4 linked regions of the Alligator mississippiensis genome follow. The protein of the gene in region 2 interacts with the protein of the main gene of each other region in a biochemical or structural test. Links are inferred from orthologs where the notes say so. Each region holds a gene or a part of one and is shown on either strand. Other genes may lie near its edges.

Region 1 (7,707 bases), on a different chromosome or scaffold from region 2:
AGGTGCAGTAAGGTTCAAATGATTGCTTCCTGGCTTGTTGATCCATCACTCTGGCCTCATTTGATTTTTTCCAGCACCACTCAGCAAGGGGAGAGTGCAGTGTCAGAGCTATGTATGAGACTCTTATCATTACTCATAGCATCAGGATCCAATGTAATAAGATTCTCTCATTAAAAAAAATCCTGCTCAGATTTGGGGATTCCATTTACAAAGAAATGAACTTGTTGCTTATGGTGGATTCTTTTGCACAATCACTGGAGAAGCACGTGGTGCATTTCTTTCCCTCTGCTCGGGCCACATTTTTGTCACTTAGCAAACCACCCTTACCTTGGCAGATCCTTTATAAATGCTAGTAATAATAGGCCTGCTTCCCTTCCTGCGTGCATGTTCCTCCCCCATGAAGAGGAGGAAAGCCCCCCTTAGGGTTCATTTTATTGCTGCTGGAAATGGGGATTGTGTTAGAACTAATGAGATCATATAACAGGGACTTCTACTGCTGTCTCCTCCCAGCAGGGATTTCTTTAAAAAGCTTGGACAAAGGATGTGTGAGCCATCACAACTCCAGTACCAAAGCTCTGCAGGCAAGAGTAGGAAAATCTGCCCAAAAGAGAATGAGAAATGCAGGTCAGTAAATGTAAACGTGTAACAGTAAATTCCTCCCTCGAGAGTGGTGGGCATGGCACTCCCCCAGGGTCTCTTGAGCATATATTGACATTTCGTAGAAAGAATTAGGATGTTGGCTGCTGTGGCTCCCGTTTTACTCGTGGCAGGTTTGGGTGTGAGGTCTGTGTCGTGTCAGGGTTGATGGTCATCTCGCGTGGAGTTGAGATTGACAGGTTTGCCTGGGTTGGTTTGGACAGGGCTGATCCTGCCTCAGACAGGGGGTTGGGCTAGATGTGACCTCCGGAGCTCCCTGCCGGCCCCACTGCTCAGCGGTTCTATGAAAGAATTTGTGCAGCTGTAGATTAAGTGGGTATTTTTATACAATGTTTTCATTACTACCTAGCACAGGGATCTGCAACCTGTGGGTTGGATCTGACCTGTAGAGCTGCCAGGGGGAAAAGCACCAGGACCAGATGCTGTTCAACACTGAGAAGTGTAAAGCGCTCCATCTGGGGAGGAAAAATCCGCAACAAACTTATAGGCTGAAACGGACCTGGGGGTCATCACTGACCATAAAATGAATATGAGCACCAGTGTGATGCTACAGTTAGCAGGGCAAACAATAGTCTGTCATGCATCAGCCGATGTATCTCAAACAAAACTGAGGAAGTTATTCTCCCGCTTTACTCGGCATTCACGATGCTGCAGCTGGAGTACTGCATCCAGTTCTGGGTGCCGCACTTCCGGAAGGATGTGGAGGAGTTGAGAGAGTCTAGAGAAGAGTCATTCGTATGATTAGAGGCCTGAAGAGCAAGCCATACGAGGCAAGGCTGACGGATATGGGACTGTTCAGCCTAGAAAAGAGAAAACTTCGGGGGGATTTGGTGGCAGCTTACAAATATATCAGGGGTGAGAATCAGGGGCTAGGTGAACAACTATTCACCAAAGCGCCCCAGGGGGAAACCAGGAGCAACGGTCATAAACTCCTAGAAGAAGGTTTAAGACTGGATCTAATGAAAAACTTCTTCACGGTTCGTGTGACCAGACTCTGGAATCGACTCCCAGCGGGGTGGTGGCACCTACCCTGGAAATCTTCAAAAGGAGCCTGGACGCACGCCTTGCTGGGGTTATTTGACCCCACCAGTCTTCCCTGCCGAGAGCAGGGGGGCTGGACCCAATGATCTCATGAGGTCCCTTCCAGCCCTAAACTTCTGTGATTCTGCGCCTCCTTCACTGTAGCTTCCATCCTTCAGAGGCCCAGGAAGTCCTAATTTGCAGGTTGTACCCCTATTACATTTGCTTCCCAGATTCTGCATTAATCTTGCTCAATCCCCTTTTGAACCCAGTCAAATTATTTGCCTCTACAACTTCTTGTGGCAACGAGTTCCACAAGTTAATTACCTGCGGTGTGAAAAATATCTTCCTTTCCTTTGTTTCGGAGCTACCTCCTGATGATTTCTTTGTATGTCCCATCACACTAGTATTGTAAGAGACAGCAAATCCCCATGTGCTTTCTCCACGCCTGTCATGTTTTTATAGGCAGAAAAACAGAACATAAGAACTGCCATTTACTGAGTCGACCACAGGGGTGGTGCTAGGGGTGCTTGGGGGCTACAGCCACCCCAAAGATTGCCTTAGCCCCCGTAGCCACCCTCCCAGTGCCATCGCCACCCGCAGCTGAGCCCTCCCGCCTGCCCCGTGCAGCTGCCTCGACCATAGGTCCATCTTGCCCCATCTCCTGTCACACGGGGCAGAGTGCAGATGTTGGAAGGGGGAGTGAACTGGGTCTGACCTGGGTTTTTCCTGTTGTTCCTCTCTCTTGCAGCCTCCAGCATTTAAGGTCTAGGAGGTTCTGATTGAGAGGCTGTACATCTGCCACAGTCTCCCCTGTCCCCTGGCTGTCTCTTCTATGAATCCTGCACATCATGCCGACCAGTACTGTCTCACGCATGGTGCTGCCCCATCTGCCTCTCTTCTCATCTCCTCCTGTTGGCTCTCTCTGGGGCAGGTCTGTCTTGCTCTGCGTGCGCAGCACCTACCACGATGAGGTCTCAGCCCATGACCGGGGCTCCCAGGAGCCACGATGAAAGTACAGTACCGCTATTCCTATGACTACAACAAGGAACTGCTGTTCGAAGGACAGAAAGCCAAATTCTGTCTGGCATTTAGAAATAGTCTGCAATGCAAACTAATATGACATCAAGGAATTGGATGCGGTATTGTTCAGTCATTTAGATTCCACATTCCCTTTTTTTCCCTTCTTCTCAGAATCAGCTTTCACAAAACCTAAGATTCTGTCATTTTCAATAAACTGACAAGGGTTTCCAAGAAAAAGTCACCATTTCCCACAATTGCAACAGAACTGTAGCTGAGACATCACAGACTTTCCCTGTGCTTGGGACAGCCGTGGCACCGTCGGGCAAATCCCTGAGGGTGCAGCGCAGGGTCCGAATTGCACTTTGACTCTGGGGGGGCGGTCTGCAAAAAAAATGGGGCTGCCCATCATGATGCCCTAATAAAACCAGAGGCACCCCCCCCCGGTTATGATTTTAAAATTTTACAGGGGGGCTGTCATGTCCTATGGCCCGGCTCAGCCCCACCGAGCTCCCCCATAAGTTGAGCACTGGTACAGTGGCATGGCTGCACCCCCCTTTGGGCATGGATCGCACTGTGGGGGACTTCCTAGAGCAGGTGAAAATCCTCCCTCCCTCCCCCTTCCTGCTCAAAGACACACCGCCTCCCCCTCTCCTGGCTTCCTTCCTTCCTGCCCTGCCCTGCTGTCCTGGGGACGGGAAGCGCTGGAGCCCTTCCTGGTCGGGGGGGGGGGGGGGAGAAAGAGCAGCAGGGATGGCCGGGGCTCCCCCTCCCTGCCTGGGCCGGCGTGGGGAACTGCTCCCCGGCTGCCCTGTTGCTGCCGGTCCCCTCCCCGCTGAGCCCAGCCCCGGCCCAGCCAGGCTGCCTCCAGCTCCCCCCCCCCCCACACAACACAACGGGGAGAAAGGGCGGCCGGTGGGGGTACAGGCAGGTCCGGGCTGGGGGAAGGGGAAGGGGGGGCTGACACGTGCTTGCTTTGGGCACTTCAGCCCCGGAGGCCCCTGCTAGGCGGGCTGGGCTGGGCTGCCTGCACTGGGGGGCTGGAGCAGGGGTGTGGCCCCCCGCCGTGGGGGTCTTGACCCGCACCCCCTGGGTGCACCCCGCCTGCGTGGAGAACAGGTCCCGTCCTGGAGGTCGGGCTGCCAGCGCCGTCTGCACCCGCCCCGGGGTGGCCCGTGCCGTGCCATGCCACGCCACGCCACACCAGCATGTCCACGATGTGGCGTGCCAACGACGCCCGTGCCAACGTGCCTGTGACACCCGTGCCAGCATGCCTGTGGCCGCAATGCCTGTGTCAATGTGCCTGTAACACCCATGCCAACGTGCCCGTGATGCCCGTGCCAACATGCCTGTGACACTCGTGCCAGCATGCCTGTGGCCGCGATGCCTGTGTCAATGTGCCTGTAACACCCATGCCAACGTGCCCGTGACGCCCGTGCCAACATGCCTGTGGCCGCAACGCCTGTGTCAATGTGCCTGTGACACCCATGCCAACGTGCCCGTGACGCCCGTGCCAACATGCCTGTGGCCGCGATGCCTGTGCCAATGTGCCAACGTGCCCGCGACGCCCGTGGCGGCGTGGCCGGGGCGGGTGCGGAGGCGGGGACCCGTCGCGGCCGGGGGCTGCCCGGCTCGTGGCGCTGCGGCGGCTGGCGGGGCGGGGCCTGCGGGGCGGGGCGGGGCCGGGCGGGGCGGGGCCGGGCGCACCTGAGGCGGGGCGGGGCGGGGCGGGGCGGGGGAGCGCTCACCTGGCCCCCGGGCCCGGCCCGGCCCCGCGCGGGGCGGCCGCTGATTGGGCGGCGCGGGCCGGTCACGTGGGGGCGCCGCGCGGCCCCGCCGCCATTTTGCCTGGAAACTTTGGAATTTCAAAGCGGCGCGAGCGGGAGGCGGCGGCGGCGGAGCCGGAGCGGCGGCGGCAGCACCGGGAGCGGGAGCGGCGCGGCCGCCACGAGTCCAGCCGGGGCCGCCCCCGCCCGCGCTCCCCGGGACGGGCGGGGCGGCACCATGCCCGTCCGGAAGCAAGGTGGGGGCGCGGCGGGAGCGGGCCCCTCACAGCCCGGGGCGGGGGCAGGGGGACACGGCGAGTTGGGCGGGCGGTGGCGGCCGGGCGGCCGGGCCCCCCCGCTGACCGCGCCGTGCCGTGCCGCCCGCAGACACCCGGCGCGCGCTGCGCCTGCTGGAGGAGTACCGCGCCAAGCTGAGCCACGCCGAGGACCGGCAGCTGCGGAGCTCGCTCGAGCGCGTCATCGGCATCTTCCAGAGCAGCCTCTTCCAGGCGCTCATCGGTGAGTGTCGGCCGGGCCGGGCGGGGAAGCCGCGAGCAGGGCCCGGCTGCGCCTCAGCCGGCGGCCGGGAGCGGGGAGGGGAGGGGAGGGGCGGCCGGGCGCGGCGCGGCGCGGCGGCGAGACGCGGCGCCAGGAAAGTTGCGGAGAGGCGGGCGGGCGGGCGGGCGCTGTCCCGGGCCGCGCGGCCCCCCTCGCCGCCCCCTACGAGTCCTCCGAGAGACACCGGAGCGGTCGGTGTTGGAGCTTCGTCCCCCGCTTCTCCCTTCTCCTCAGCCAAGTTCCTCGTGACCCTATTCTGGGGAGAAATAGGGAGAGAAAGTTTTTCTTGTTTTTTTTGTTTTTTATTACTTCTTATCTTTCCCAATAAAACATGAGAGGCGAAGGCCTGCGGGTGCGGCTGCGTAGACAAGAGCGCGTTCACCTCGCCGGCAGCAAGGAACCAAGTCCTGTCATTAATAAGTCATATTTAACTTGCCAGCATGGACGGGCAAAGCTCTTCTTAGAAGTGCCTTTGTCTCGGGGTTGTTCCTTGCCTTGAGCGCGCGGTGCCGCGGGTCGGGGGCACTCGTGTTCTGGCCCTGCCGCGCGGCCGGCCGGCCGACGGGTGTGGAGCCCGGAGCAGACCCGCGTGGCCCCAGCCCCCGCCGTCTCTGCCCGCCGGTCCAGCGCGCAGCCTGCCGCCCCCCAGACCGTCCTGTGGGCGCAGCAGCAGGGTGCCAGGGGCTGCTGCTCGCCCACGGGCTGCTCTATAGGTCCCGGTTGATATTGGGACTTAGTGCTTGTTTTAGGCTGTGCTGTGTCAAACAATCAAGTTCTTTCAACTCTTCTCCTGTAACCTTGTCTGGCATTCTCCTACGCTTCGGTCTCCATAAAAAAGGTTATGATACAGTGACTGTTTTCGCTGTCGACTTCCGAAATGGAAGTCCTGCATTAATACCACTTTAAACTTGTGAACTTAAACATCCCTCATCTGGCTCGCGAAGGAGAAGTCAGTCTCATGAAGAAAGGCTTGGCTGACTTTGAGGGATGGGCGTACGAGCCCTCTGTGGTGGATCAAACTAGTGAAGTTTTATATTAGTCACACTTGGTGTTGTGCAAGAGTTTGTGGTTTTTTCTCACCCCTTTTTGCGCTCCCTTGCCATATTATTTTTGTTGGAACTTACTATAATGGCTCATGGATTTTCCTCTTAGAAATTCCTAGAAGTTTATTCTTTATTCCTTCCTTCTAGAAAACAAGGAGGAAACCTGTTCCAGCTTCTTCCCCTAAATGTCCATAATGACGCTTCATCAGGCTAAAGGAGCTCGTCTTTTCTATGGCATTAGCCTTTGATACTGTGATCTCTTCTGCTCTAATACTGTCTGTAATATTATATAAGCTATCTCTATCAACAATACAGGAATTCATGAAACACCAAGCCAGTGCTTATGTTGCAGTATATACTATATAAAAGAAAAGGAATATGTGCTGGCAGGATGTAGAAACAAGGATCTGTTTTTGCAGATAGCACCGATGTGAGGGACTGTAGCAGTTTGACATCCTGGCTCTCGTTGTTGCTTTAAGGTGAACTACTTTTACAGAAGTTTTAGAGCTCTTTGCCTTGCTCGAACAGGTTAAAGCTGCATGGCATGCAAACTGAGTTCAAGAGGAGTATTGTGTCTTAACCCTGTAAGACTTATTTTCTAATGAAAGAGGAAAAACATCTGTGTTTTGATTACGCTTATATGCAACCCTTTCTAGAGAAGGCTCAGGGTGGCTTACAGCAACTACATAATGTATAAAAACAGAATAAAACATTGGAATGCAGTATAATGAAACTAGGGGTTCACAGATAATGATTTTCTTGGTTGATACCAATAGCCAATTATTAACCAACCATATTGGCTGATGCCGATCTGATAACTGATATTTAGTAATAATGCAAGGCATTTTGAAGTACTGACAGAAATAAACCTTGGTTTTGTTTGTTTTGTTGTTCTCTGGCACACTCCAGCCTCCTGCGTCACATGCATCAGCATCCCTGTGCTTAAAACTGGCAGCGGGGTGCTTGAACTGAAGCTCATGGAATGAGCTTTAGTTCAAGTGCTGCCGCCACCATTTTTAAGTGCGGGGACGCTTGAGCTGAGCAGAGTGAAGGCGGATGTGGGCTGCTCTCTGTGGGCTCAGGGCGCTCTGCCCCAGGAGCTCCATGCTGGCCCCATGCCCCCTGCCCACCCAGCAGTGGGGCACACAACTCGCTGCCCCCACTGCTGCCAGACAGGCAGGCAATGCGGGGCCGGTGTGGGGCTCCTGTGGGAAAGGCAGCAGAGCAGAGAACCTTGAGCCCATGTCTAGGCACAAGTCTGGGGGGGCACATGCCCTACCTCCCCAAGGGGGTGCATGCAGTGGTGGGGAGTTACTGTCTCCCCCACGCCCCTCTGGATGAGCCACCTGTGGCTCTGACCTGCTCACAGGCCCAACCCCAGGTCCTGTGCACCACCCTGGCTGGGTAGCAGGGACCACAGTGGGAGGCAGGGAAAAGGGCACCAAGTGGAGTAGTTGTTAGTCAGGCAACAGAAATAAAGCAGCAAGTTGGGCAGGGAGCAGAGAGCCATATTGAGAAGGGGGTTGAAGTGGCACATGGGGCTTAAGTTGTGGCACACCTGCTAAAAAGTTTGGCTCCCCACTGGGCTGTTTTATTCAACACACTTGCGAGCCTGAACATATTCTGGCAGGAGGTTTAGGAGG
Region 2 (8,016 bases):
TGACAGACATCCGCCAAAGCACAGCTTTAGCGAATGGTTTGTATTCTGGAGGAATAGGGATGAAGAAGTCAGGTAGGAAGCCTGCATTCAAACTGGGCAAGAGCGAGTGTTTGTTTGTTTAGACCATTGAATATTTTGATGAAAGCAGACAAAAATGGTTGACATTGCCCATAGAAAATGCTGACTTTGCAAAATCAAAACCTGGGGTTTTTGGCTGAGAATTGAAAATTAAACTTGATGCCATCACAGTGCTTCCTGGTAGCTTTAGTTTGGTTGGCTCACGCCCTGCTCTTCTCTGCGATCTTCTTGCTGAGCTCAGCTGTCGCGCATCGCGGGAGCGCTCGCTTTTCCCCCGTCCCGCTTCAGAACCAGCCGTGCCAGAAGCCACTGCCGGGGGGTGCCGGCATTTAGCGTCTCATTGCAGCATCCCGGCGTTGGACCGTTGCGGTGAAATCATTGCACTGAAGGGCCGGAGATTTGGAGACAGTTGCTCAGTCTGGAAACTTTTGGGAAGCGCTCTCGACATGACTGTCTCTTCAGTTTATGGAAAAGTTCAATGTAAAAAAATATTTTAAAATAGCTCATTTGCCAGGAGTCTTGTTATAATCAATTGTACCCATCAGGATGAGTCAAAAATAAGCTTAAACAACTTATGATAAATGTCAGTTTTCTTGCGATTAAGACAGTTTACAGTAACCTTGCTACTTTGGACCTGTTCTGTAAATCAAACAGCTTTTCTTCTGGACTCCTAAACCTTCTAGGTTTGAAAGTAATTTTGCTCTATCAAGATTTGTGAAATCAACTTTTAAAAATTGAAACAAGGTCTGTATTTCCATATGTGCTATTTCTCTCATACTGTGCTTTTGATATGAAACGAGGGGATTATGGTGTCGCTGATCTCATCGAGCTGCTGCTTTGATTCTCTAAGGTATCATTATATGTGCAAGTGGGTAGTGAATTCATGTCCCCGAAATAGGGAATAGGGATCTGTTTTTAAGGTGTATCTTGACTTTATAGGGAGGTGAGGTTTATCATTTCAGCTCTATGTCATCATATAGTAGATATGTACATAAAAACCAGTATGAGTTTTCATTCCAAAAATAAATTTGCCCCCATTCCAGTATGTTTCGATATCCATCCTCTCCAGAAACACACAGCCCTTACATATCAAGGTTAGTGGGATATAAAGGACTCAGAAGGTGCAATTAAATTACCGGACAGCAGTTGAGAGAGAGAGAAATACCCAGTGTGCCTGGTACATGCTAGCTACTAGAGAAGTAAATGCTCCTTCCATCGCTTTGTATTCTGGTTTCAGCCCTCAGCTCACACATCCGCCTCTCCTTGGGCTGTCGCCTTATCGGGTCCCTCGTGCTCACTGGGGACATACGGGCCTGGTACCCAGATGCAAAAGCATCGGGGCACAGCATGTAGTGCAATAAGGGTAGGCCATGTCTCGGCACAGCGGCTCTGGGTCCTGGGCTGGCAGCCAGTGCATGCAGGCAGGAGGAGCATGTTCTCGCCCAGGAAAGCTGTTTGTCGATGCTCTCAAGTCCTTGCGACGGGGAAGGGAGCATGACACGCAGGTCACATAAAGGCTGTCCCCCGTCGCTGGAGTGCCAGTGCCGTGTTCACCGCTGGTGAATAAACCACCTCTCCGGTCTTCAACAGGAATGTATTCACTTGGGGGAATACCAGTAATGCTAATCCTCTGTCTCCCTGTGATAATAGCTGTAGAGCCGGGTGGGGAGGCATGCCTTCGCTTTGGTTTCAGAAGCTGTAATCGCGATCAGACCATGAGGATGCTCTCCATTACCATAGAAACGAACTGAAGTTTTTTCACAAAACCCGTTAAGTTTTGGAATCCGCTTTACAGAGTCAAGATGCTTTTTCAGGGAGTCCAAGTTGGGTGTAACTAGTGGTAAAAAAATAAAGCACCAAAAAAGAATTAAAACGTTAGATCCCGTTTAATTAAACAATATTTTTCTGGAAGCAGCTTACATTTAAGCTGATTTTTTTGTTTTTCACTATAATTTTCATGAAGCCGCATTCATTGAAATCTCCTTTTCGCTGCTGTTGGCAGATGTTATGCATGCTGGATTGGGAAGGCACGGTTGAGTTCAGCTCAGAATGATGTGAATTAGCGGTGTTCAACTGAACGGCTGAGCCAAGGCCAGCTTTGAGGTGCTCTGAAAACTTCAATGTGTCGTTCATCAAACGCAGAGGATGGCAGCTCTGCTCTAGCTTTCCATATGAAAGCTGCTCTCAGGATATTGCTGTAATAATGTTCCCCGGTTGACTCCTGCTCTCCTGAAGAGAAACCTGAAGCAGTGAGGAAGGAAGATAGGTATTTTTTAAGCTCGGCAACATTTTGAACCCACGTTTGTCACATCGTGTTTGCTTCTAAAAACAGAGGGGTCTGCCAAGACACAGTGCTAAACAGCCCTAATCCCTTTGTCCTCTTCTGCAGTACGTCCGTTGAAGATTTAGAAAAAACAACTCATGATTAATTCACATAAATGTCATCTAGGGAGAGGAAGAGTGCTTTGACCAGTGAACGCATCTCCTATGCAGGGACAAACATCCGTTAAAGAGACCGGATAGCTCCATTGAGAGACTGGATAGACCCGGGGACTGGGAGGGAATATTCATTTTTAACCACGTTTGTTCCCCTGCAATGCTTCAATTTAACAGCTGCCACTATGCTTCCCAGTTCATTTACTGTCGCTTTTATTGCACCATTGATGCATTTGTGATAAACTCTACGTCTGGGCTCCTGGAGCAGGACCACACGGCTATCGTGTACATCAAAAGGGCACGTGTGTCACGAATGCTCTCGTGTGATGTCAGCAGAGTAGTATTATTTCTTAATAAGCACATTTTAACATGATGCTAAAGCTGAAACAGCTCAGGGGCCCGGGGCAATTACTGGTGGGACCGCAGCTGGGCAAGTGCTACAGCCTGGAGTGCGGAAAGTGGCCTTGTTCTCCAGGGCCCTTTGGGCAGAAGGGAAGTCTCTGCTCTCGTTGGCGCTTGCGTCCATAAGTGCATTTATCTCCCGGCAGACGAGGTTCCTTGGGTGAATTTGACATCTTTTATTAGACCAACCTAAATGGTTGGAGAATAGTTATTAAGCAAGCTTTCGGGTTCAAAAACGCTTCGTCAGGCTAAGGAAGCTTCAGCAGTTGGTGTGTGCTCTTCCTGGATGCACGCTGGCGGTGACATGGCTCCGCCAGCAAATGTAACGCCTCCCTTACCCTTCTCTTCAGCTCTGTCTTTCCTCCTTCACAGTACAATACCTGTGCGTTAGTCTCCGCACCGTTGGTGGCCCTGTTTGCGTCTTCGGTCACCACGCTCTGGCCCCACGTAGCACGGGGTGCCGGCATCCATTGGCCACTTGGGAGATTTCCAACAAGCATCTTGGTGGTTTCTCCAAGCTCCCCCTGTGCTTGGGAGATGTCCGCTTCACCCTTCTCCTTCAGGTTCACGCTCACGACTCTCCTTTGCTGCGAAGCCTCCGCAAGACTTGACGAGTGGGCCAGGACTCCGGCCCGTTACGCTGCTCTTTGTCATCTCCTTGCGTTTCCATGCCCATCTGTTGTCTTTTATCCATCTACTGTATGTACCCGGTAGGCTCTTTGGGGTAGCGACATCCTTTGTTGTGTGCTTGTGCACCTCCTGGCACTGTGGATCCTGGTCCGTGACTAAGACTCCTCCGTACTGTTGCAATACACATAAATCTAGCTGTTATTATCTTGGAGAGAGCTGCTGATGCAAGTTGGCATTGGCTCGGGAGGGCTGGGAGTCGCATTGCTGGGGTAGGAAAGGGATGCAGAGCAGTGCCAAACCATTTGGACAGATTTCAGGTCTCTTCAGTTGAGAAATTGTTGAGAGGCTGTGCATAACCTTCCACCTCCGTGCACTTTTCCAACTTCAAAACTACCATTGAAATTAAATCAGCCCATTAAGCTCAGTAATTATTCAGGTGGAAAATGTTTTGGCTTGTCAAGGGGGAGGTGACACAAGCACTGTAAAGAGTTTGATGGTGGTTACTGTTTGGTGATGTATTTATTCCTCCAGGGCCATAAATTCCTCTGTTAAGTGTTTGAACAATGAGTATGTCACAAGTGAGCATGCAAAACGCCGGTGAAGATCATTTGCATAATAAAGGCTGTCAAAGTGGAATGAGTGTGCGTCTGGTACGTTCAGGGATATTTTGGGGTGTTCTTAAATTCTTATTTCTGATTTTAGTGGGCGAAGGATTCAACTAACATTAAAAAAAAATCAACGTTACATACAGTTGAGTTCCCAAATCCATACATAGACATGCAAATAAGTATCTTCAATGGGGCTTTTCAGCACTCCTGGAAGACGGGCCGTTGTTATAATACGAGTCGTGGAACCGTAGTGGCTCGGGGGCACGACCTGTTTCTGAGAGAAGGCTTTTTATGGCCTCTGCAGTAGTATGTAAAATGCTTGAATAACCCCTTTTCTGGCAGCACATACTTTCTAACATGCTCCTGATTTCTGCTAGGGACCAAATACTTTTATTGTGGCTACTGATTGGGTGAGTGCAGCCTGGTGGTGATCAGGATATGATTAGCATTGCGGCTTACTGGGGCCTCGCCTCGTTAGCCTGCACATGTGGCCGTGGCGGGGAGATGTTTGTTGCTGGGCAGATGCTTATTCTGTCTTGGGGGTCGAACGTTTAGTGCTTGGGGGTGCCAGAGCTGGAGGTAAGATAAATTAAAAGCCTTGCAAAAAGTTATTAAGACCTTTGTTTTGGTTTCTTCTGGAGCTCTTATGCTGCAAGTCGTTTAATGCCTTCCCCACAGCTGCCATTGGTTTTCTTTTCTTTTCTTCTTACAGGTTATCACGTGGGCTGAACAAAAAGGAAAAGCTCCAGTGAACAGAAGCTTTGATCCTTGATAGTATTGGACAATACGAATGCTCATCTCCCCAGGCCAGTTGCATCGATATGATGTCCAGGAAGAGGAAACATGTGAAGTCCTCATGCCTCCCATCAGGGCCAAGCTGAAGCGGGTCCCTCCTCCCAGGCTGTGCCATTCCCTCTTTCTCTCCAGGTCTGTGCCGCTCTGACCCATGTCTGTGAGAGGGAAGGGTCTGCAGAGCGGTGGTCTGCGGACAAGTCATGGAAGCCAGCTGGCACTGTGCGGTATTTCTGGCCGTCTCTCTACCGCAGGGTCCGTCCTCTGGGTGGATGTGGACTCTGCCACTTGCTGCCGAGGGCTCCAGGTTTCCTCCCCGAGACCTGCAACAACGGTCAGTCGTTCAAGCCTTATTCCGGTGGAAAGCGCTGGGCCAGTGGACTGGGGAACCATTTTTCTCATCCCTGCTTGCAGGGAGGGGGAAGGGGGAAGTCCCCAAAGAGGACGAGGGGACGGAGAGATGACAAAGCGGCAGGGGGTGAAAGGGCTCGCAGAAGGAGCACAGGAGACGACGTGCAAGGCCACGCAGGAAGGTCTGGCTGGGCGAGAGGAAGGCCTGGTTTAACAGCAGGACCACACACGGCTGGGAGGTAAGGACATATTTGCATCTACACCTGCTTCTCCCGCGCTGCTGTGTGCGTTAGACTCGCGAGCAAGGTCCGTGTATGTGTCTCTGCTTCCACCCTCATGTGAAGAGCTGCTTACCCCTTCCCAACAGGTCACCCGTGAAATTGCTGGCTAGTGCAGGGGTCGGCCGCCTACGGTCCGCAGGCCAGATCCGGTCTGTGGGGCCGTGGCTTCGGCAGCTTTCAGCGGGGTGCAGCTGTCTGTGCCGAGCTGCGAGTGGGTGCTGGCACCAGGGCACCCTCCCCAAGACATGCTGCGGTCGGGCGGGCGGGGGGCAAGCAGTGGAGGTGGCCACGTTTTAGGAGCCGGGTCCTTCTGACCCCCACTGGGCAGTGTTGCATCCCCCTGGACTGTGCCTTCCTCCTTCTGGCGGGGGCCTTTGGAGCGGGCGTGGAGGTGCCTGGGGGTGACGTGTTCTCCGCAGGCGCTTGAGACCCTGCTGGGCTGAGTGCGAGCGGTTGAGTTTTGTTGGGTTTCTCAGCTTTGAATTTCAGAGCAGTTCTGCTTTAGTGGGAAAGCCACTGCCTACCTTTTCCCTGCGGTTGTGACAGAAGCATCTGTCTTATTTTCTCTTCCAAAAAAGTGCATGGCACATTTGCTCGTCGCTCGGGGCTTCCGGGGACGTCCACCCTGTGCCCACTGTTACCCGGTGGCAGCAGCACGACGCTCTGTAACCCGCTGGGCCTGCGCCGGCCTGCTTCTGGCACCCGAGTTAGCTTGGGTGAAAAGTGACTTTGATAAATGGTAGAGGAAAGGTTTTCCCCTGCATGATGGTTGGGTTGAATGAATAATAATAATAATAAGCAAGGAGAAGGCACTAGTACTTTTCACTTTGTGAGACTAGCGTGTTATTTGAATACCTATTGATCTGGTACTGGTGAGGCGTTACAGCTGTGATGGGAGAGAAGACGTCTGGGTACATGCAGCCTTGCAAGCAGGCATGCAGATTTCAAAGAGTGGAAGAAAGCAGCGTAGCGCATAGGTAGTAATTAGGACCAAGAAGAAAGAGGCTTTGGCTTTTCTCCTCAAAAGGAAGCACAGTTGTATTTGAGACCGAGGGCTGGGGACGGGTGTTTGGGAGCAGGCTCCGCTCCTACAGCCCTTGAACAGACCTAGAAACAAGTTACTGGGGTTTTGTTGGGGTGGGCGGGTGCGGGTTGAAATGCGGTGCCGGAGAGCGCGGCTGTGATAACGCAAAGTTATAGGCCAACAAAGCAAGGCTGAATAAGAGGTCACGAAGCTTTTATTTTGTGAAGTCAAATCTACAGGAGATTCAGCGGCAGTTCCCTGTTCCCTGTGCCAAGGTGGCCAGCCTCTCGAAGGCTCCTCCACCCCTGCCAAGCCTTTATTCAGCTTCGTGTCCCAGGGGGTCAGTTGCTGCACCGTGAAACTTCGGTCTTCTCTCCACGCAGGTGCTTTGGACTCGAGACACACAGGGACACTGGAGCGCGTGCATCCGTGCACGCTGTTGCTTTTAGAAATGAAAACTGCTGAGAGCTGTTGGGCCAAGATGTCGGCGTTTCAGCTGCTTGCATCACCCTTCGTCGCAGTCCAGGACTAACCACAAAGTGGTCTGTGGTTGTCGGGAGCCAAGTTTGGGCTTCTCTTTGCTGCCTCTTATTGCTGTAACTTGGCAAAGGTTTTGGTTACGTCTGTGACTTCTCTTCTCAACATTTCTCGGCTCTTTCAGCTCATCTGTTTCTTGTTCACTCTTTGGTACAGCTCCGCTGCTGGTGGCTGCCGTAAGATCCCGACTCGGCACGACTAGCCAGCACGCGGTCTGAGGGACCTGCGCGCGCGAGGGCGCAGCCATCCACTTCAGCGGGAGTAGGGGCTGGCCCCGCGGTACCTGTGTAGCCCAGTGTAAAGAGGCAGCCTGCGGCACAGCCATGCAGGAATCCTGACAAACTATGATGGGATTTAATTTCTTTGCGAGAGCTGCTGATGCCTGCTGTGTATCGACCGTTCTCAAGTCTATCGTGCCTCTACTCGCGCACTCATCTGATCTCCCTGACACCGTGCTGTTTCCCCCTCGCTCAGTCCTCTAGGAGAGTTTCCCCACCTGCAGTAATGCAGAATGCGGACATTTTCTGTCTGTAGTCTTGCCCTGGTGGGAAGAGTCATTGCTACGTCCTTTGAATGTGCAGCATGTGCAGTGCCTAAAAAGGTAGGAGCTAGAAAGTCGCTTGTACTTCATTGTCCTTGTATCTCAGAGGAGCAGGAGCTGGCTTGGGTGAGCTTGTAAGGCCTTGTGTTGGAACAGATCCTGTTCTGTTAACCCCATTGCTTCCTTCTCTCTGACAGCACTTTTCATCATGTACCATCTCTTTCCATGCATATCGCCCACCGAAGCACCTCATGGTTTCCCATGTCTTCAGTGACACACCAGAGGCATCTGAAGTGAGCATTCGGATCTGCAAGGCTCATGTGAGGTCCCCAGCTG
Region 3 (7,518 bases), on a different chromosome or scaffold from region 2:
TGCTTATCTCTGCTAATTTTGAATTTGCTACTGTTCACCAAAAACTGTGCTCATCTAGTTCCAAGCAGAAAATGTCTCATCCAATGTATTGTATCTTTTGTAATATTCCCAGCAATTCAACCATTATTGTTCATCTTTGTTCACATGATACGTTTCTATGCTTTGGCCAATTGTAGATACTTTTGGTGCTTATTTTAACAGCTATGGACATGTCAGGAATTAAAACTAGTTTTAAATTGCCAGCAAATATACTTTCTACAATACATTTATAAAAAGACAGGTCTCATGCCTGCACTAAAGGAGTTAATACTTGTAATTTACATTGTAAACCTTTGGGGACCAGCAACATTAGCACTCTTATGTATATGTAAAGCACCAAGTTAATTTACATTGCCATCCTGATCATGGATTATCATAACATATATGCAGTGACATCATCTGTAGGCGCACATTGATTTTAATGTAGCGCCTTATTAGCTACTTGTACAGCCTGTCTTATTTTTATGTGTAATCAAGATAATTGTACATGGTTCTCTACATACTTTGTGGTCCCCATTCTTAAAAAAAACTCACAACCTCCTTCTATTAGTTCTGTTTCTTACATGCACTTGGTGTTAATACACTAATTAAAACACTTATCACAGGTACCAAGTTTCTACAGCTCCTATTGATTTCAACAGGATTCAAGATAGCTCAGTATTTCTAATAATCAGGCCAAATGGTTTCTGACATGGTAACTACATTTCAAATGTAGCTAAGCAATTCTAACTACATACTGTGAGTAAAAAAAATGCCCTGGTTTAAGAAAATGTCTTTCCTTTCTCAGCAAAGGAATAATTCCAAAAGAACTAGCTGTAGAAACTCTAGCGATTTTTAGAGATGGAAGTGAGGGGAAAACTGGCATATATTTGAACCTATACTGTAGGAAGCTTTAGAAAAAAAAATATCCATGGCAGATGTACGTAAGTGCAAGTGTGCCTGATAGAAAAACAAGAGATCATCTCAAAAATCCAATCTGCTGCAATGCCTCTCATTAACAATCCTACTAAATCATGTCACTCTGTAGATTTTCACCTGCTTTTCTTCATTTGATTTTATTTAATTTGATTTTTCTTCAATCTTTTCCCAGGGTAGTGCTTTAACAGCCTCCACAAGGTGGCAGGCAGAATGACACACGCACCTTCTGGCTCCTAAATTCTGAAGCCATAAGTCTCATGCTTTCCATATTCCCCAGTGTGCCAGACTACAAACTCAGTAGCTAAACTGACTCTTATGCTTATGATAGATATGTCATGTTTATAAGCTATAAAATTGATTCACTCTGTGGAACAAATATTTTCATTAGTTTCTCACAAAATCTAATTGTAGCCATGACTGTCTAGGAAATTTATGGTACAAAAGGGTTTTTTGGGGGGGTTTTTGGTTGGTTTTATTTTTTTTTTATTTTTTTTTATTTTTATTTTTTTTTGCAGTTAGGCAAGATTTCAGACATGAACTGCCCTTCCTCAGCTCTCAAGATAGAAAACATACTGAATTATTTCTGCTGTACATATTACTATTAGAAATTACTACACAATTACTCTAAGTTGTAGGACACAGTAAAAACACTGACCTTGTGCAAAAATATAGCAAAATGCTAAAAAGCGACCTTCAAAGAAATCACCTTCTTATCAGCTCTAAAATTACATTTTTCTTCTTTGTGGTGTTACTTTATAAATATCAGGGACCTCAAGTCTGGCACTTCCTCATCTTCTGGAAAACATTATAACAGAGGACAATGAGCCTTCATGCCTTTTCTTTGAAATTGCACAAAGGTTTACCAAAGACAGATGTACCAAAGATTTCCTTTCTTTGATGTGTTATGAAAACCAAGTTTGGAAAGATTTAAATAATCACTTAAATTTCGTATCTTTCTGTTGTGAGATCAGTGCTCCACCAGTTTTCCAGTCATTCACAGACTTCTTGTTTTTGTAAAAGAACTGAAATCCTAAGGTAAAAAAAAGAGAAAAATAAGTAAATTATATTAGAAAACAAAGAGCAGTCTTTTCCAAACTACTTCACATACCATTAAAAACCCAACAAGGGTCACATCTTTTTCCCCCTATGGGTCATGTGTAGGGTACCTAAAGATCCTTGTATTTTCCTGGAAGCAAAAGTCTGTTTTCCAATAGCCATGGACATACTGGCTATTAGAAATTCCACACAGAATTATTTTCAGGTTTTGTAGATTAATAACATGGCATTTTAGATAAAACTGAATGTAGTTACTTTGCTCAATACAGGGTGGTAGACGTAGGCTACAACTGCAGTTTTCTGACGTGAATCTCTCGTAGCATTTGAGACCCAATGTTTAATGTTTGATTTTCCAATAGGTATTAAAAATGTAAATTAAAGGCATTTATTTCTCTTCCCACGTCTGAGGTATTGATCTGTGGTTTTAGAGATGTTTAAGAAAACCTTCTGTGTTACATCAATCCAAATATCAGCTGTTGGTTCCTCAAAATGGGGGTCACTGCTTGGCAATTTCTGGGGCATTGTGAAATATGCGCACACATTTTTTTCCCCAAATATATTCATTGGCTTAAGCAGTGTCGGCTACTAAAGCTTTAATTTTTCTTTTGTTTTGTTACGTGAAAGCTGTAAGGATTTGACTGTGTTCACTTGTGAAACTCAAAACGTTTCCATTCACGTTCCTGTTGTGCTGAAATGCATGCAGGATAAGCCTCTTGCTGGCAAGAGGGCAGATTAAATAGAAGGCAAGGTACATTTGCACCTTATAGACCAGTGATTCTCAACCAGGGTGTCCTGGCACCCTAGGGTGCCTTGAGATCCTTTCTGTGGGGCCACACAATATTAGGACTGTGAGGTGTACAAACGTGATTCAAGTGATGAGCCCAGAGATCACAGAGAGGAATCTCCAGTGTCAAAAACATTCTTCCCTGTTGTCATTGGTGACATGTAGGGATGCATGCGAGTGCACTTGCACCCCTGAGATTGGCGGTGCACCCCAAGAGAAGCGCCGTTGACGCTGCTGTCAGCGCCTGTGGGCGGTCGCTGCTTGCCACCCCTGTCCCCTCCCTCACCGTTGACACTGCCAGCGGGGTCTGCAGGCGATCGCCAATGGCTGCTGGCTACTGGTGAAACTGCCAGCGGCATCTCTGGGTAGCTGCCACTGGGCGCTCACCACCCCTCCCCTCGCTGCCCACACTGCCGTGGCCACTTGCAGGAGCTCCCCGCTCCCTGCCACCATGCCCCCGACACCAGCACCACTGCCTGCAGATGGTTACCTTCTGGGGGCACGCGTCATTCATGCCTGTTGTGGTCTTACCGAGCTTACTGTTTGCAACAGAATTGCTCCAGATTTTTCTATAGTCCAAAAAAAAAAAGGAGAAATTAAGAGCTGGCATTTTCCAAGTCTACTCAGGGGTGCCTGGAGCTGGCAGAGGGGTGCCTGGGGTCTAAAGAAAGTTGACTATTATAGACTAACAAAAGTAGATCAATAGAGGGCACAAGTTTTTGTGAGCTGAACCTCACCTCATGAAAGCTTGTACTACACATGCATATACATACATATATCTGTGTGTGTATGTGTGTATGTATACACAGGCAACCCCCACTTAGCATTCTTAATTGGTCCCCAAAAAATCAAGTGGTAAGTGGAACAGTGTTAAGGAAAACCAAGAAAAGATTTTGACGAACCAAGATGGTGACCGCGAGCCCTATCCTGGAACTTGCTGAGCGCTAAGCGGAATCGGTGTCAATGTTAACGAGCATTATAGCGAAATAGCACTAAGCAGAACAGCACTGAGCAAGCATTGCCTGTATACATATAATGTGCGCATGTGTGTATATGTATGTCTGTGTCTGCATGTATGTACTCTGGTTAATCTATACGGTAGAAGGGGTGTGTGTGTGTATACATATATGTATATGTGTGTGTGTGTGTGTATATATATATATATATATATATATATATAATATCGTGAACGATGTGTGCTTCCAGAGGTGGGCAGGGCACTGCAACGGCGCCGTACGCAACGGTGGCAAGGCCAGCAGCGGCGAGAAATCCCGCAATCGGCCACAGCGGTGTACGCAGCGCAAGGTGGGGTGGGAGGGGCGGACACGTGACCACCCATTCCGCGCTTCTCATTGGCTACCGTCGGCCCTTCCCGCGCCAGGCTATGAACCCGAAGGCTGCGCGCCCTCCGCCTCCGAACACATGGTCGGGCGGGGCAAGTGCTCACACATGCGCGATGGGGACAGTTCGGCCGGCTCGAACTCCCGCGCTCTTTCTCCTTCCCTTCAGCTCTCGCGGCCTTTCCCGAGGCGCTGCGTCACTTCCGGGGGGCGCGAGACGGAGGGAAGATGGCGGCGCTGGGTGAGCCCGTGCGGCTGGAGCGAGGTGAGGGCGGCTGGGAACGGCCTTTGGAAGGCGCGGGGGAGGGGAGGAGCTACGCACTCCCCTTTCCGCACACCCCCCCCTCGCGCGGCCGGGGGACGCCTCGCCGCAGGGTCCCCCCCGCCGAGTGTCACCTCGGATACCTGCCACACCTTACGTGCATTGCGCAGTGTAGCCCGGGCAGAGCAGTCGGCCCGCCAAGAACGGGTGGTTCCCGCCCTCGTTTTAGGCCGGCCCATCGAGTAGAGGAGGTCCCCCGCTATAAAAATTACCTACTTGAAAAAGAGGCAACCAGCTCTACAGTTAGTGGTGGAAAATGTGTAACGACTTGAGAGCCGGTTTCTTCATGGCTTGAACTGGGGCGTGTGGCAGGGCTTGCTTGTAATATACAGTGCCCACTTGGGTTGTGATGTTCAGGGCGGTGTTATTTTTGCTGCCCAGTGAAGTGTAGGTGCAAACCACTGGAGAATTACGTGCAGGCGCAATATAGAGCATCCAAACCACGTCTTAATTTTCCAAGCGCATGTGCACATAGGCAGCAAATGTGGCTGGTGTGAAGAGTGACTTCTCAGTGGGAGTGGAGACCAAAGAGGATTTGTTTTGGGTGGTGAAAACACCTAGTCGGGCTCTTGAAAGGAGCAACAGATGATTAGTGAGGGGGGTGTATGGCCAGCTCTTTGTGGGATCATAGGAAAAGAGAGTTGGAAGGGACCTCAGGAGTCACCTAGTCCAACCCCATGCTCAAAGCAGGACCAACCCCAACTAGAACATACCAACCAAAGCCCTGTCCAGCCAGGTTTTGAAAACCCCCAAGAGTTGCCTTTCTTCTTGCGCTTTGGTAGTGGGTATGGGGTGGGGAATGTACCATTTTAGCTTGTGTCTGGCTGTAAGTGGAGATTTCTCTTGTTCAATCTCCGCGTATTACCAGCTTCAGAATTCTATTCTTGAGACTGTTTGATGGTTCCCCTCCCCATTTCCTTCATCTACCTTCCCATTTCGCAAACAAGCTGCTTGTAGGGTGAGCGAGAAGCTTTGTAAATAGATCCTTGTTGCTGCTGATTCCACAGCTCTGCTGCCCCCCTCCCCCAAAGCTTGTTAATTAGAGCAGTTGCTTTGGCAGTGGATTAGCTGTTCTCAGTGGGTTTGCTGTGTAAAACCTCAGGCAGCATCTTGCTCCCCTCATTACCCTGCCACTGTGCTCTGTCCATGAAAACAAACAAATCTCTGCAGAGTTATTTATGAACTCTGGAACAAAGGAGCTATTTACGCTCCTTTGTTGGAGCTTAAATAGTTCCATGTTGGTTCATCTTAAGAATGTGGAAAAGAGTACAGAATAGAGTAGACTTAGTGAAGAAGAATGCTATTTTTCAGAAGTAATTTCTGTTGTGATATTGTTGACTTTAGATAAGTTTATGATATTTCATTATCAGGTCAAAGGAGCAAACATCACAGAGAATTGGCATATAACGTAGGGAGAGATGGACAGTTCTGTTTAAAAAGCATGTCTGTACTAGCAATAGGAGTACGTTACAAATTGGAGGACAAATATAAAAGAATCATGGAATACTAAACTTGGATTGGGAGGGACCCCAGAAGGCATTTTGTCCAACACCTTGCTCAAGGCAAAATCTTCCTTGCCTAAGCCATCTTAGATGAATGTTTCTGACCTGCACTATTGATTTGATTACACTTCCCTTCTAGGTAGTATACTTCAGTGCTTAACACCTCTTCAGAGTTAGGAAGTTTTTCCTAATGCAGTATTCATTCTTTAAGTCCGTAGCTTTGGTACTGAAAAAAGATGATAAGCTAATCTGGTTTAAATTTGGTTAAGTGCAGTCAATGCTCATTAAGTACATAGTACTTCCTGTGCCGTTGTACTGTCAGCCCGGAAACTGACATCACTTTCAAGGTTTCTAAGGCCTCTGACGGTTCATTTAAAGGCACAATCTGATTCATCCCCTTGACCCCCTCACACTGCCCCACCAACACGCATGCATGCAGGCGCATGGCTGGATGTGTCATTTTGGAATTGGCCATCAGATCCCAATTGCACCGTGCTTCCATATTTGCCAGTGCAGGGGAAGCTCAGGATCCTGACCCTGGGGTCTGCCTGCATTGGCAGCTTGAAGGCAAGATGCCCAAAAATCAGTTGATTGTCAGTTTGGCAGGGACTGCATTGGGGCTGATTCTAGACCATGGCACAGTCTCCAGACCCAACGAGCTAGTGTTGTTCCATGCAGGGTTTAAAGTCCCCAGCCGGGAGAAGGGGAGCCTCAGTGCCTGGTGCTGGCCTGCCTTGCCAGAGCTGCTTGGTACAGGGTTTAAAGTTCCTTTGGTTTAGCCCGGTTCCCAGCCACATGTTGAATTAAGGCATCATACAAAATGAGCCATGAAAATATTCTACATCAAGGGTGTCAAATATATAGCCCACAGGGTGGATCTGGTGCATGGAAACATTCCATCTGGCCCACTTAGTAGTCCAGCGGACTACTAGAAGTACAGTGTAGCAGAATTCAGGTTCCCTGGACCCCAACGGACATGACTTTTGGCGACAGTTTCCAAGCTCTGTCCTGCTGCCTGAATTCAGCTCCATGCAGTCGCATGCCCCTAGCTTTGTGCCACTTTCCAGCCAGATCTCCACTCCATGGGGCAGTGGCATGGTTCTAGGAGCATGTCATTGCATAGAGCTACGTTTGGGCAGCAGTCTGACCAGTCAGCAGTGCCAGGGGTCACATGGCAGCACAGAGCTGAGGGTGTACAGTGGCACAAAGCCATGGTCGGGCAGAGTGGAGCTGGGGATATGCACCTGCAAGGAGCCAGGGACGTGTGGCAATGCAGAGCTGAGGCTGTGCAATAGCACACAGACATGTTCAAGTAGTGTGGAGCTAGGGGTATGTATGGAAAGGACCCAGGGACATGCAGTGGTACAGAGCTCTAGCCAGGCAGTGGCATAGACCCAGGAGGTTGCTGCTTATAGTCTAGTTTGCATCCACACCACTACATGTCCCTGGCTCCAGCTCTATGCTAGTAGTCTGGCTTCAGAATAGAGTAGCAGTTGCAGGATTGGATAGCGGGGAAGGAGAATTAAGAATGATTCAGTGTGGGATTCTTGGAGGACT
Region 4 (7,642 bases), on a different chromosome or scaffold from region 2:
CAGGTTCACAGGGAACCGGTGCTTTATCAGGCCATTTATTCTAATGTAAGAGCAGAGATGATATGAAATGGAAGTGTGACAGGGGAAAAAACAGAAAAGCACATTTAATTATATTTTCCTGTCAAGATTCAACAGTTTTGTCAAGGATCAATAGCTTCAGGGTCTTACATACACACTGTGCTCCTGCCAGTTTGTGGTAGGATGTACAATCAGATGATGATGATGCATTCCACAGAAAGGCACATCTTTCTTTGCTCTGCCCTGTGCCCCTTCTGCAGAAAGAGTTTTTCTCTTCTCATGAGTTTATGAAGGTAGGCAACATTCCCAGGAGGGAGGAAGAGAGAGAGCATGTACATTAGGTCATGAAATAAAGACAGCAAGCAAAGGAAACATGAAATTGTGGGGCGGGGGGTCGAATGTGCTCATTGTAACAAAGGGAGAAAGAAAAACCTGGAGCAGTCACTGCCTAAGCAGAAAGCACTGCAGGATTGTTTGCAGGAGATTTTACAAAATCAGTCTTTCCACCATGCTTTTTTGCAGTCTGCACATATTTGATATGCTTTGCACTTCTAAAGTGATGTAGTGAATGGACTGTGGCTCTGGGATACAGCTGGGCTCTACTGAATGGAATCAGAAGGGCTCAGATGTGTCAGAGGCTCTCCCCTACTAAGATGTAACAGTGACATTCTTCCATGTTGATATCTATGTCTTAGGATATCAGCCTCAGGACAAATGAAGTTCTTCTGCTGATACCTTTAGATTCTAAATTAATATGGTGGATAGTATAATAACAACTGTTCCATTACTAGCTAGGTACAGGTTAGTAATGCTTAAAATGGCTTAATTATCACAGCATTTGTGAGAGGTAGGGAAGTATTGTTAAGCCTCCAAGTCTCACTGATTTGGGATGGGGATGCCATCATTCAATCAGCTTTTAAAATCTTTTTCGTAAAATAAAAACAATTATAATCTTATAACTAGAGGCTTAGAGACCTCCCTGGGCATGAAAAAAACCCAACACATGTACATATAAGCCCCCCCCCCCCCCCCCACGCACTCATTCAGTCAAATGAATACAGTCAAATAACATGCACTTTAATGCAGCTAAATACAAGATAATGGATTTGGCATCCAGGGTAAATTTACAGGATGGAAGACTGTCTCAGAAAGCAGTGACTCAGTGAGGGACTTAGAGGTCATTAGGGATAAATGCCTCCATGTGCCTCCCTTGTGTAAAACTATAGCAAAACAGACTAATCCAATGCTTATTTATAAAAGGAGACTATCCAAGAGCAGGGAAGTGATTTTGCCTCTGTGCAAATGCTTGAATGCTGTGCCTATATCTGGTGTTCACATGGCTAGAAAGGGATAAAAATACTGGAAGAAGTTCAAAGGAGAGCCACAAGCATGAGATCTAAGCACTGAAAAGCAATCTTTGTCGTGTGAGTCTGAAGTGGCTCAATTTATTCAGCTCATTGAACAGAAACTGAGAAGTGACTTGATTGCTATGTAGGGATACTTGAACATAAAGATGTTTGGTAGTGGGGTGCCTTTTTCTGATATCCTGACATGACTGTAACAAGATCCTGTGGATGGAAATTGAAAACAGATAAATTCCACTTTGAAATAAGACACAGCTTCCAGGGAACGGGAGTCATGACACACTGGAATATCTCATTAGAAGAGATGGTGGCCTCACCAGCACTTGGCTTCTATAGGGTGGATGGATATATCATTTTGAAAGATATGCTCTAATTTGGCTTTTAGAATAAATTCTTCAGTCTGTGTGGAGTGTATGGGCCTAAGTAGGATGGAAAATGATGTTGATCACTTCAGCAGCCACTGAAAGTTGTGGATAGCAATCTCCCTGTTTATAACCTTCTTTAATGGGTCCTGGAATGACTGGGTTTGTCTACATTGGTTTCAACATGCTCTTAACAATTGCAGTTCTGCATTAAGACAAGTACTTGAATAAAATCTCCTGCTTCAGGCAGTTGCCTCCAGGAGTCGAGAAGGATTTTTTTCTTGCATAATGCATAATATAATTGCTTTTTTTTTCTTTTCCTTCCTGCTTTCTTCTAAAGCATCAGATTGGCCACAGGTGTCAATAGGAAATAGGATGGGGTATCTTGGTCCTCTGAAGCAGTATAGAAAATCCTTTCGGGTCCTGGGACGTAAGTCTTGTTCATATAAGGTGTATCATACTGATTACAAGCAATCCTTGGATTTACGACACAATTGGGTCCTGAAAACTGCATCTTAAGTCAAAACATTGCAACTTGGAACTGATTTTCCCATAGGAAACAATGTTGTGAATGGGGGATTGGTTCCTGAACCAAGGCCCGATACCCTACTTTCACCAAAAATAACCCATAATTTTGTACTCAATTATAGATGAGTAATATAGCTACATTAATGTATTTATGTTGTAAATAGCAATCATATTGATTTGGAAGGACTTCCTTGAGGTGACTTAGCTGAACTTCTTGAAGGGCTCTCGGTTGGACTTTTTGAAGGGTTCTTGGCTGGAGTCTTCTCAGGAGTCTTGGCTGCAGGTTATTCTGGAGCCTTGTCTGCTTTCTTAAAGAAAGTGTCCAAGGAAGTTTGGACAGATGTTCTCCAGGGAGATGGGGGATGCAGAGGATCAAGCATTGTAAAGTCAAAACTGATGTCAGAAAGTTGAAACAGGTGTCAATTTATAAATGTAAGTGTGAAATGTTGTGATGCGAAACATTGTAATTCAAGGACTGCCTGTACTAGGTTCAGGTTGAGAGGGAGTTTCTGTTCTCTTGAGGTCAGGTTGGTATGGTCCTCATCTTTCTCTACTGGGAACCTCTGAGCATGTCTCATCTAATCAGTTACTTGTTAGTGCAGGACTTCAGGGAGTGGCACTTTGGTCATTCCTGTACTCTGCTTGTGGCACACCTTATAGGTTTTGTGTGCACTGGACTATTTAGTATCGTTTACACTGCAGATTTCATTTTGGGTGTTTGAGTGAAGCCGGCTGGTTTATGACATGGAGAAGGACTAACAGGATGATCTGATGCTGTGTTCTGCCCTTCTATACGTCTGGGAAACCACACTTGAACTGATCAACACAATTTGGAGCATGGTTATGAGAATCAGGTAAACAGAAATACAGATATCTCCTACCTGACCTTCTAAGTCACTGCAGGCTGCATGTATTTCATGATGCTGGCCAACACACCCAGCAGTAGCTGTACAGATAGGTTTTGCTCCCCAAATGTAAAACATGAGTAAAACCCCTGCCTGTGTTAGCTCTCCCTTGTCTCCATGAAAACATGAAGAGTAAAACCCCCACCCTTGTGTCAGCACTTCCTCAATGCCATGAAAACAGGAACAGTAAAACCCCTGTCAGCTTTCCCTCTGCCATGAAAACATGAAAGCGAAAACCTGTGCCCTTGTGTCAGCTCTTCCTCAATGCCACAAAAACATGAAGGGTAGAACCCCCGCCCTTGTGTCAGCTCTTCCTTAATGCCAGGAAAACAGGGAGGGTAAAACCCAGGTCCTTGCGTCAGCTCCTCTTCAGTGCCACGAAAACGTGAAAGGTAAAACCTGTGCCCTCGTGTCAGCGCTTCCTTCATGCCAGGAAAACGGGGAGGGCAGACCTGGTGCCCTTGTCAGCTCTTCCTCAAAGCCAGCGAAACATGAGGCGTAAAACCCCCAGCCGTGTGTCAGCTCTCCTCAGTGGCATCCCTATTGTGCAGCTGGGCAGAGGGGAAAGTGGGGACCAAGCGGGGGGTGAACACGGCCTCGCCCCTGCCGAGGGGGCTGGCGGTTGTGGGAGGGAGGCCGAGGGGCCCGGCTGCACGGGGACACCCTCTCCTCGGGCAGCCTGGCTGCGGGCACCGGGGCGGCGGAGGCGCAGGGCTCGGCCCTCGCCCCTCGTGCAGCGCCGCGCGGGGCGGCCCCGGCGGGTGACGCGGGCGGGCGCGGGGCGGGGCGGCAGCGAGAGGCGGGGGCGGCGCGGGGACGGGCTCCGCCGGCGGCTGCGGAGCCCGAGCAGCGGCAGGAGGAAGATGGTGGAGCTGGGGCCGGCGCTGGAGGCAGCAGCAGCAGCAGCCGCCGCCGAAGTGCCGGCGTGTGCCCAGGCTCGCGGCTCCCGCCTGCAGCCGCCCTGCCCCACCGCGGCCTGCTGAAGCGGCCCGCCAACCCGGTGAGGAGCAGGACAGCCGGGGGTGGCTGCACCGCGGTGCGTGCGGGGCCGGAGGAGGAAGCGGGCGGGATTGCATCCGCCCCCGGCTAGGGCTGCGCCTGCCGGGGATGCTGCGGCGGGGGAAGCAGCGGCCAGGCTTGGGCAGCGGGGGAGGGGAGGCGGATGGGCGGCCGCCTCCTGCGCTGCAACGCAAGAGACCGAGCCAGGCTCGCCCCATCCTCGCCCTGCTCCGCACCGGCACCGGCGCCGGGTCCTGCCATGTGGGGGTTGGGGCTGCCGCAGGGAGCACGTGGTGCTGGCCTGACAGGAGCGGGCTGGGAGGAGGGCATCTCTTCCTACAGCTTGGGCTGCCCGTCCCCCCTGGATGGTTTTTTTTTTTTATGTTGTTCAAGGCCACATCGTTTCCAGATCCAATTGGGCAGAGCCCGAGAGTCAAGTTCCCAAATTCACCTGGGCAGAGCTCGATCGGCAAGTCTGCGTGTGGCTCTACCCCCTCCCAAACCATCCCTCTGGGCTTCGGGGACTCCCCAGACCCAGGCAGGCAATCTTATGTGCAAGCCCTAGGCCTGGAGGCCTTGGGGTTCGTGTGTCCCCGCCCCCAGTTTCACTTGATCCTTGCCAAAAGGCCGAGGCAGTCGGGGTTTGCAAAGAGGTGCCAGGGAGCCCTCCTCCATCCGCCTTGCTGCCTCCCTGCACTTCCCCCCTCTGCTCTCCACCCCTGCGCTGGGAGAGGGACCAGCGGCTGCTGCTGTCACTGTCTGCCAGCAGATTTAGGAACTGCTATTCTTCCCTACCCCCCACCCCAGCCACATCTGCACAGCGCTGTGGGGCCCTTCCATTCAGTTACTGCAGCCCTCTGTGTTTCACTTTTCCCAGAGCTCGGTCTTGTGGGGCGCAGTTCCCCAAGGCTTGTTTTTCTGTCAGCCTGTGTGGAAATCTGCATGGGAGAGAGAGGCCAGGATGGAGGCCTGTGTCTTTGGAAGCGTGATGTTTCGTCGTTTTGCTTCCTTGTGGCTTTATGGCGCTGAAGGATTATGGCTCACTTCACAAGGTGTGCCATAGATCTCTGGCTGTTGTCATAGCTGCCCAGGAACTAAAGCAGTGGGACTAGAAGGCGCGGATGTTTTTCTGACTGCAGGCATTAAGGATGAGCTAACATGGGGCAAATCAGGCATATGGTGTGGATTTCTATCTGCACTGTACATTTACCTTATGCCAGGTGCCAGGAGCCCATCCTACAATCAGTGTTTTGATACCTCTTTGTTAGCATGGATCAGAGGGTCCCAACCAACCTGTTCTGGAAAATATTCCAGTCACAGTACTTTAAATTCTACTGCATTGCTGTCAAAATCTGAACTGGCTGCCCCTGTCTTTGCAGCCTGTGGCTGCCATACCTCCAGAAACAAATACGCAACACATCGTCACCTTTGTTGTTTGGAAAATAAAGGTGGAATATCTTTGTCGCTATTGCAGTGGAGGGATTTAGAAATATTTAGGGGTGAGGTCAGTTGTACCTTTAAATCTATCAGTCATTTTAGAAACTTCTAGTGTCCAAAGTCTACTTATCATTTTAATTTTCTTTTCTTTTTTTTCTACTGTTGCATCATAGACATCTGCAAACCAGACAGTGCAAAGCACAGCTTTTATTTTTGGTTTCTATACTCTTTAGTTATGATCCAAAGTTGTGACAAATTGTGCTTTGAGTAATTATGCAAGATTTAGGGGTAGATTTACATAAATGGAAACATTTAAATCTTAAATCTGTGTTCATGTGTTGGCTTTTTTGGAACTGTCATCTAAAATACAGACTAGTTAGTTTTCTCCTTTTAAAAGCTCTTCCTTGCCAATTAAGAGTGAGCAAGCAGTTACCAGTTTTTAAAGCACCGCTATCAGCTGGTGATATTGTTGGAATGTATATGCTGAAAAGTTGAGTGTCCAGTAAATTGTAATGCACTGACATAGGTAGTTGTAAATTGTGGTAAATTGATCATTTTTCCTGCACTTTGAGAAGTTTTGATGCATTTCTAATTATACAATATAAAATGTATAGAAAGCTTAGTTGAAAGAGAGAATATCTGACTTGTTTAGATTGGAAAAATGGTTAACAATTGGAAATAGTGTGGATTAAAAAGTGGATATAAGCTTTACATTTGAACAGATTCATTAAATGATGGGCAGACAAGGCTTGGGGTACAGCACAAAAACTATAATTCACTGGACTAAGTTATTGTCCTTTTCTCTTGTAGCTTGCAGCAATGCATTTGTTTTGCACTAATGCGTTGTCTTTGCTTAAAATAGCAGTAATGTTTTCAGACTATTATTCTGTGTTCTATCAGATGCAAAGGCCAGCCTTTTAGAAGCCTATTAAAGAAGAGATATTCATAGATTGACCCTTTGGTTATAAAGTGAAAGATGCCAACAGAAGTACATTTTATTAGAAGGCCCTAGTTAGCTAGGAAAGAGCTGTTCTCTTGAGGGGGCAAGGTCTGTGGAGAAAGCAGAAATGCTTTCCAGGCATCCTTTTTCAGTTTCACAATTACTTAACTTCAAAGTATTGTTTATTATATTAGTGACATTTTTTTTTTTCAAATATCTATCTAGGTTTTGTCATTCCTCACCTTTCAGGAGGCACTGGGAGAGATCTGCTTCTAAAAACGTTCCTTGCACATGTGCACACACACTCCGATGTGTAATAGCTTGGAAGCTGTCATCACATTCAATAGCATCACAAAATGTAATGGTATAATGGACATGCTGTCGTGTTGGAAATCCCTAGCCTCCATGGAACCAAAGAAGAAAATTCTGGCAGGTTCAGTTCATTCTCCTGAGACTGATATATTCAGTTACATGCAGTTAGGTGGATACAGTTTTGGGGTATAAAACTGTAAACGTAAAGGTCTTGTTTGCTTTGTGTTACTATGAAAGATTGTGTAACACCTTCAGTTAAGAAAGGCTTATACTTCATTTCCTCAGTTTAAAATGTGTGAGAACTGAGTGAACATAGCAGTAACCGGGAACCTATTTTTTCTCTACATACTGTTAAATTAGGACCCATTGTCTTTAATGGGACAAGTAATGGGATCTATAATTTTCTAACACCACCTCTTGTATGTTGTTGTATAGCCTAAAATAATGTATACCTCTAACAATGCAATACATTTTAAACAAGATTTTGACCTAAAGAAAAGCTGGCAGCTTGAAAATTTTGCTGTGTTTCAAAATGCTTTTATCTGACAGTTTTAAAGATAAGACCTAACTAAGCATTCTAGAATTGCTAGAGATGAGAGGGGAAAAAAAATCTCTGCACTCACTACCTGTTCTTTCCTGTTCATTTACTAGGTGCGTTTGTGTATAGCATTTTGAGTATAGACAGTTTCACTGTTTTAGTCCATGTGGGTCTTTAAGAAAGCATTATGACAGATAAAATCAAAGTGTGGTAGTTAGTCTGAAGTCAGGAAGAAGGCA

What was found.
Region 1: the proteins of HTR2C (region 2) and DLG1 interact in a test that uses a peptide from one of them, tested with the Homo sapiens proteins (2 studies listed by IntAct, with this or other methods). The link is inferred for Alligator mississippiensis from reciprocal best matches to the Homo sapiens genes HTR2C and DLG1.
Region 3: the proteins of HTR2C (region 2) and LIN7C form a complex in vitro, tested with the Homo sapiens proteins (2 studies listed by BioGRID and IntAct, with this or other methods). The link is inferred for Alligator mississippiensis from reciprocal best matches to the Homo sapiens genes HTR2C and LIN7C.
Region 4: the proteins of HTR2C (region 2) and APBA1 form a complex in vitro, tested with the Homo sapiens proteins (2 studies listed by BioGRID and IntAct, with this or other methods). The link is inferred for Alligator mississippiensis from reciprocal best matches to the Homo sapiens genes HTR2C and APBA1.

What each region holds. Positions count from the first base shown.
Region 1 is NC_081830.1:89,480,275-89,487,981, forward strand, and holds the start of DLG1 (disks large homolog 1), read left to right. Parts: upstream 1-4,568; 5' UTR 4,569-4,701; coding exon 4,702-4,720; intron 4,721-4,850; coding exon 4,851-4,982; intron 4,983-7,707. UniProt on the Homo sapiens protein: Essential multidomain scaffolding protein required for normal development. Recruits channels, receptors and signaling molecules to discrete plasma membrane domains in polarized cells.
Region 2 is NC_081831.1:82,763,612-82,771,627, reverse strand, and holds the start of HTR2C (5-hydroxytryptamine receptor 2C), read left to right. Parts: upstream 1-4,870; 5' UTR 4,871-5,536; intron 5,537-8,016. UniProt on the Homo sapiens protein: G-protein coupled receptor for 5-hydroxytryptamine (serotonin).
Region 3 is NC_081825.1:209,179,739-209,187,256, forward strand, and holds the start of LIN7C (protein lin-7 homolog C), read left to right. Parts: upstream 1-4,327; 5' UTR 4,328-4,365; coding exon 4,366-4,402; intron 4,403-7,518. UniProt on the Homo sapiens protein: Plays a role in establishing and maintaining the asymmetric distribution of channels and receptors at the plasma membrane of polarized cells.
Region 4 is NC_081826.1:193,884,669-193,892,310, reverse strand, and holds the start of APBA1 (amyloid-beta A4 precursor protein-binding family A member 1), read left to right. Parts: upstream 1-3,980; 5' UTR 3,981-4,177; intron 4,178-7,642. UniProt on the Homo sapiens protein: Putative function in synaptic vesicle exocytosis by binding to Munc18-1, an essential component of the synaptic vesicle exocytotic machinery. May modulate processing of the amyloid-beta precursor protein (APP) and hence formation of APP-beta.